2 linked regions of the Xenopus tropicalis genome follow. The protein of the gene in region 1 interacts with the protein of each later gene in a pairwise test. Links are inferred from orthologs where the notes say so. Each region holds a gene or a part of one and is shown in the gene's direction. Other genes may lie near its edges.

Region 1 (3,258 bases):
ATTATAGTGCATGTGGACAGGAATGATAATACAACACAGGGTTGATTATTATGGAAAAAAGGCTTCCTTGTTTTTAATTGAAACTTCCAACTTGTTACATTATGTAATACAGGAATAGGATCCATTATCCAGAATGCTTGGGAACTTTGGTTTTCCAGTGATCCAGCTTTTTTGTGGGGAAAAAGCATGCATTGTCCTATGATTAAGCCGCATCACTACTAGCAATGTTTTACTTGCGGCATACTGAAGAGTAGGCAAGGGAAAGGCATTTTCGGGAGATTTGACGGCTGTGGTGACACATTTACCACAGGCACCAAATCTCTCTGTGTGTTAGTACCCTAAAGGTGGCCATACACGGACCGATTTTTAACTTACAAACGACCGATTCCCGAACGATCCGATGCTATCGTTAAGTTATCGTATAGTTGGTGGTGTACGAACGATCGTCGGCCCACTAAACGAGCCGACATTAACGTCCCCAAAATCGATCGGCCAGGTTTAAAAATTTTTGTCGTTTAACGATAAAATCTGCCAGTTGGTGTGAGTGTCAGACATTTGTCTTTCAACGATTGTTCTCTGCGCATGTCACGATTGCCAGCAACGACATCGATCGTACGTAGATGTACGATCGTAGGTATTTTACGATAATGATGCGACAAAATCTTTCCCGAATTATCGTTGCCCGTGGATGGCATATCGTATGGGAACTCGATCGCCATACGATCGTTTGTCGATATAATCGTTCATCGCACAACGAGCGAAATCGCCTCGTGTATGGCCACCTTAATACAGCTCAAAACCTTGCTGGTCCTTGCTGCTGACTAGCATTGCTTGCTACAGCCAATATTTATTCACAAGTGTCCCTAGGTCCTTTTCCATCAAGAATTTGATTTAGGCCCAAATTTTGCCACTTTTTAACAAATTCAGGTTTACTCACAGGTACAGATATTTTATAATAATGATTTTTCAATATATACTTAACAGGTCATCTTCCTCATGATCTTAGGGAGTGGGTACAATCATTTTGCTGTGGTATATTTTTAAATTCTAAATAAATCATAGCTTACCATGCAGCAGTAAGTAAAGAAACTGTATAGTATTGTGTGTTTTCCCAGGGCTGCAGAATTCAGAGGGAAGTCTGTTCACTGATGAAGAGCCAGTTGTTCCTGTACCTATGAATCCAGCTTTCATACTCTCCAGAGCCAGCATTACAATATTTAATGTAAGTCTATTGCTGCTAGGCTTAAAAAAAAAAGGCTGTTTTGTATTAATAAGATAATGTGTATATGGTTTTACATAGAGACAATTTAGGTAGACTATATTAATTATTTAAATGAGATTTAAGCTTTGTTCTTCTTACAGAAATGAAATTAGGAGTGTATAAATATAAAACTGCTTATTATAGATCACTCTTTTCGACCCCCTGAGGTATTTTTAGCAACAAAATCTATGTGCCCACTTTGAAGCAATGTAGTATTTATCACAAGGGCCTGCACTATTTTACTTCTTAGCTGCCTGTTGTAGGGTTTTGAAGATGAAGAGGTGGTGCCATCAAAGAATTGGCCTGTTTCACAACAGAAGGCAAGAAATATTTTGGAGTCCTTTGAGAACCCATTCAAAATGGTAAATTATTAAATTTTTCTATTAAAGTATACTGGACTAGAAAACACTAGCCCTCATCTAAAGTAATGTATTCTACCTTTTATTCTTAAACCTGCTCTTGTATAGTTTTTGCCACCTGAGGATCGTCGGGCTCATGTATCACAAGCAGCTAAACTGGACCCCAATACAAAAATGTTTGAAGTAAGTACATTCTTCATTCAGCAATGCATATCTTGTGCATTAGTAAGATTCCAGTTGTGCCTAAGATCACCTTACTTTCAAATACTTTATAGATCAGTAAGCAATGGAAGCTTGTAAGCCTGGCACAGCAAGAAAAAGAAGCAAAAGCCAAAGAAGATGCCAGAAGACAGAAAAGGGAAGAAAAGGGTAAATATATAAATTATTGTGCATGTTGATTTCTTTTACAGGTACAATATTTTTAAATGATGGTTAACATTTTCACTCATGTGTTCCATTTACTTTTCATGCAACAGCTGCTCGGGAACAAGCTAAAAGGGATTTTAAGAGCAGTGTAGAAAATCAGAAATCTGTCCGTGAACAAGCAAAGGTGAGTAATATATAACTGTAGCCACACAGCACCTGTGGTGTTAACAATTGCTATTTTAAGCCTAAAGGAAATTTTAGTCATATATTCCCTTTTAAAGGGAATATGTCATGATTTTTGTTGTGCAGTATTTATTATGTGACATTGTGCATTGCAAAACATTCTACCATTTAAAGTTTTTCCTCAAACCAATAAATGTAGCCCTCAGTGGAACGTCGTGAAAAATCACTTATTTCTCTAATTTGATTTAGTAATAAGATACATATACTGCTGCATGAATGATCAAATTCTTTGTACCTGTGAGGTCTATCAGGTGGTCTTGGTATGTTAGCAACATCTGTACTTCCCTGATTGTTAGGATCCTGGAGTTGATGGTACAGGTATAGGACCCGTTATCCAGAATGCTCGGGACCAGGGGTATTCTGGATAAGGGATCTTTCCGTAATTTGTATCGCAATACCTCAAGTCTACTAAAAAATCAACAAAACATTTATTAAAACCAATAGGATTGTTTTGCCTCAAATAAGGATTATTTATATCTTAGTTGGGATCAAGTACAAGGTACTGTTTTATTGTTACAGAGAAAAAGGAAATCAGTTTTCAAATTCTGAATTATTTGATTAAAATGGAGTCTATGGGAGACGGGCTTTCCGTAATTCGGAGCTTTCTGGATAATGGGTTTCCAGATAAGGGATCCTATACCTGTACTTTGTACTTGTAATGTAATGTAATGCTGCTTGTGCTGAAAGCTTTATTTTTCTTTCTAGGCTTTTTTTTTTTTCATTCTAGAATGCAAGCAACAAATGATCGCAGCATATGTGGGTTATTTACAGTTTATTGAAGCATAATTTCTTCTGTTCCTTTTTAAGGATGAAGAATCCAGCAAAAAACGGGAACGTGTGTCTAGTGAACCAGGGTCTGAAACAATGAAATCTGACAAGAAGCGCATCAAGAATTCTGAGGAAACCCAGGAACCTGTTTCTCAAGCACCATTTACACCTTTTGATTATAGCAAGTCAGACTTCAAGATGTTTGCAGGTGTGTTTGTCTTGCATTGAAGGAAAACCAATCGATTACCAGCAACATCAGTA
Region 2 (4,348 bases), on another chromosome or scaffold:
AAAATCTGTTCTCTAAATTACTTAACAGATTTGTCAGAAGAGAAAATTGCATGTTCCATTTTCATTCAGCTAGATAAAAATTGATATACTTATTTTATCTCATTGAAATACTTTGACTGTGGGGTGCAGATGCATAAAAAAATATTTAACGTCATCCGGGAAATTTTAACTTAACACAATGGAGGATCATATATTGTATCATGCTACAAAATCTTGCTTGCTATGCAGTAGCATGATGAGATTTTTGTGGTACAAGTATGTGACCAGATTGCTCAGGACCTGGGGTTTTCCAGATAAGGTTTCTTTTCATAATTTGCATCTCTATATCTTAAAGTCTACTAAAAAATCTTAAAAAAAGGAAATTTAAAAAAAAAAAAAAATGAATTATTTTATTAAAATGGAGTCTATCGGCGATGAGCTTTCCATAATTTGGAACTTTCTAGATAACGGCTTTCCGGACCCAACCTATACAACGCAGTATACCTGACGGTTCTCTGGTGTAGTCAGCCTTTATAATGATTTAGTACAAAAGAAGCTTTGTTGTATAATCCTACAGAAGTAGACCCTGCAATTGCAGACAGGTTCAGTAAAGTATGGGAACTGTAAAGGTCCCCATACACAGGCCAATAGTAGCTGCTGATATCGAGCTGATATCGATCTATTTTTATCTGAAAAATACTTTGTTGACACATTGTTGCGTAAAACCGCAAAGGCAGCTGGCAGACCTAGCGGAAATACGCGGCGTTTTTTGCTATTTCGCACTATTAGCACCATGGAAACGGGATTTGCGGAAAAACGCCACGCGAACCCAAATTGCGAACATACGCGAAAAGTTCGCGAACTTCCGAACTCGCGAACACCCGATGTTCGCACGAATTAGTTCGCCGGCAAACAGTTCGCTACATCTCTATATATCGCCAACCCGTAGGTGGGGATATTGGGTGAAGATCCGCTCGCTTGGCGATCTCGCCAAGCAAGTGAATCTCAACATGTATGGGGACCTTAAGGCTCTAATAAATAAGCAATTTCAATATATCTTGGTAGACTCCTATAATTTAGGGCACACTAAAATCTAGCTACACCAATGTATATAATATTAAATATTACAATTTATATAGACTTTCATTTTATCAGCATCATCATATATATTACCTACTTGTTTTCATTTTTTTTTTTTTTCATTTAGAAGATGTAAAACCCTAGTGCCTGGCACAGAAAAGCCAGAGAGTTTCTGCACTCCTGGTAGAAATGGTAAGCCAATAGACTGGTTTCCTTTTTTTATACACGTAGTTCGTTTTTTGTAAACTACAAATGGATTCCTGGCACCACACTTTCCCCAGAAACTACCTGGGCCGAACGTGCTTGTAGCTATTATAAACCAGCGGGTCTCGGTCACCTAGCAACGGCTTCTCAGAGACTGATCGTCCTGTTAAAGCCTGCTCGACGATTCAGGGGTTCGATTCTCATTCCTGGGACAGCGTGTGAAGGAAGAAGCGAAAGTGGGTAGCGTGTTGCCACGGCTGACACATCATGGCTGCAGAAGTTGGAAAGCTGTCCAAAAACTTGCTGCGTATGAAGGTAATTATTGGTGGGCATCGGTAGACAATGCGCATCTGTAGTAAGGGAAGTGTTAATATTTGAAAACATGGTGTATGTATTAGCAGTCAGACAGGCTTTTGGTACGTTCCCTCTCGCATGTACGGTGTCCATTTTAGGACATTCACCTACAGTAGCCAAAATATACTCCGCACATATGGTTATGTTATCGATCGGTTGCGGGTTGTAAGTTCAGTACAGTGTATTGTCGAGAATGCAGTGGTTTTACAACACTAATGCTGACGATACACGAGTATTTCGATCACAAAAAACCCGTATTACACGCAATATTATATGTATATATCGCTAAAGTCTAAGCTCATTTTTAGTCTTGGATATAGAGAGGATGGATATCGAGGCAATATATACGTATTTGTAGGTGTATATAGTGTAGGTATTTGTGTATTGAAGGGGTACATGTTGTCCATATAATACACAGCATTACAATACACCAAGATCAAGAATCAGGAAAGCAATATTCACTGTGGTGCCAATTAGTATTCACACACTAGTTCAATATCCATATATTGCCTATATACTATTCAATATCCATATATTGCCGGTCAATTGTTCTCTCCAGGGGAATAAGCAAGGGCTACATACTGAGGGTAATTCGCTAACAGACTTGGACTGGCAAATGCCAGAGGGTGGCTGTAACATGCCGTACATAGACAGACACTATTTATTGGGCCTTTGGGGAGTCTGTTTGGGCCTCTGTAAACTTAAAATGCCATGTCCTGTCTTTGGTCTCACTATGGACCTGTTCACTTCCATAATGGTCTGTGTTTATTATAGTAAAATTTCAGATTTCTATACTGTATTTGTGCTGATTTTAAAAGGTATGACAGCTAGTAGCTGTCCCAGACAGCCCCAATTAGAAACTACAGTTTTCTGCTAACAGGAGCACCACCCCGGGCATCAGGTAAGTTATTACATTCACTGGGGGGCACCTAACATTTTAGCATCCCTCGGTGATTGTAACTTTCCTTCTCCTGTAAATATTTACATTAAAAGCCACCTCAGAGATTTATGATCTGTAGAAATGCTTATGGCATCTTATTATGCCTCCATCCAGATTTAGAAATATGATTTTTTTTTTTTGTTTAGAGTGAATGACCTGTATTATAAGATTGACAGCTTTGTGACAGAGTTTTGCTACTAGTTCTGATTGTGCTGTAGAAATTTTGTAAAAATGGACTTAATTTGGACAATAGTCTGTCAAATATATATATATTTTTTTAAAGTTTTACTCCCTACAAGGGTTCACTGGACTAAACTCACTATAAAATAACACATTTTCTGATCCATTTTTATACCATAAAATGTTATGGTGTTACGAGTGTTTCCATGACTTCACTGATTTAAAGTGCTTTTAATGCCAAATTGTATATATTCATTTTAAGAATGTGTTGCATATTTGGTTTCTTGTTGAGATATATTGTCCAAAATGCATCAGACCTGTGGTTTTCTGTATCTGAGGTCTTTCTACAGTCTGGATTACTATATGTTAACAACAACAAAAAATAACAAAAAAAAAATAGTATTGCTTTCCTACCAACATGGATTTATGCTAGCTTAGTTACCATCAATACTAGGTACTGTCTCATTATTACAAAGAAAATCAAATTATTATTTGCTTAAAGATATTGGATATGACCTTCCTGTACATACAGACACCATGGTATTGTACAATTTCTTTTATTAGGGATGTTATTTTTAGGTTCATATCATCTTTACACTACTAATTTGATGACCTTATTATCAAGTGATTATTTGTTTATGGAAAAACTTAAAGATGCGCTTTTTTAATTCATTTATTTTCTTCAAGCTTAGGTTCTGAAGTATTTAGTTTTTTCTTTGCCTGTTATTTTATATTACTGTGAGGGACTTTATTACAAGACTAACATACCTATGTTTGTATATATTTATCTATTTTGTCTGTCTCTTTAGTTTATGCAGCGCACCCTTGATGCAGAGACCAAAAAGCAGTTAGAAGAAGATGAGAAGAAGATAATCAGTGATGAGCACTGGTACTTGGATTTACCAGAACTTAAAGAGAAAGAGTAAGAGGCAAATAGATACATTCAAAACAAATAAATTAATATGACAAAGGAAACCATAAAATTATGTTAAAAAATGTCATACTGTCAACACAAAGAAAAGAATTCTAACATGCCAGACTTCAAGCAAAGGTCCGATATTAGTCTTATCCTCATGTAAGATAGTAGCAACACATATTACTAATGCTAACATTATATTTTAAATGCATAATTTTTGCTACCTGTTAAAGGTGAATACTCTTCATGGGAACTGCAACTGACAGCCCTGCCTTAGCACGTTAAAACACACATACAGCAGTCCGATGTATATACTTTGTCCAACTAAAAAACTTTTTAGTTTAACGTAGGAATTATAATGATGTCCAAACTCCATTTAGAGGTGTCTGTATCATGTTAACAAAAATGCATAAAAAACTACTTATACCTGAGTGTTATACATGATAATATGATATATATGATAATACTGGGTTAGGGAGGCACAGTCCACAAAGACTTTTTTGTACATCAGCCTTCAAAGCCATCAAATTTATTAAAATATAGCATTCCCTAAATATACATTTCCTTTAATTTGCAGGAGTTATATCATTGAAGAAAGGAGTTTTCTGCCATGTGAAGATTTCCTGTATGGCAGAATGTCCTTCAAAGGTTTTAACACTGAGGTTGAGGTTTGTAAATTTTATTAGGTTGAGTTT

The links. The genes of interacting proteins can lie anywhere in the genome.
Region 2: the proteins of exosc10 (region 1) and mphosph6 interact in binary tests that used the Homo sapiens proteins (3 or more experiments, as listed by UniProt). The link is inferred for Xenopus tropicalis from reciprocal best matches to the Homo sapiens genes EXOSC10 and MPHOSPH6.

What each region holds. Positions count from the first base shown.
Region 1 is NC_030683.2:64,875,951-64,879,208, reverse strand, and holds part of exosc10 (exosome component 10), read left to right. Parts: intron 1-1,097; coding exon 1,098-1,222; intron 1,223-1,524; coding exon 1,525-1,623; intron 1,624-1,728; coding exon 1,729-1,803; intron 1,804-1,895; coding exon 1,896-1,989; intron 1,990-2,096; coding exon 2,097-2,170; intron 2,171-3,036; coding exon 3,037-3,205; intron 3,206-3,258. UniProt on the Homo sapiens protein: Catalytic component of the RNA exosome complex which has 3'->5' exoribonuclease activity and participates in a multitude of cellular RNA processing and degradation events.
Region 2 is NC_030680.2:63,898,033-63,902,380, forward strand, and holds the start of mphosph6 (M-phase phosphoprotein 6), read left to right. Parts: upstream 1-1,494; 5' UTR 1,495-1,530; coding exon 1,531-1,578; intron 1,579-3,546; coding exon 3,547-3,659; intron 3,660-4,230; coding exon 4,231-4,321; intron 4,322-4,348. UniProt on the Homo sapiens protein: RNA-binding protein that associates with the RNA exosome complex. Involved in the 3'-processing of the 7S pre-RNA to the mature 5.8S rRNA and play a role in recruiting the RNA exosome complex to pre-rRNA; this function may include C1D.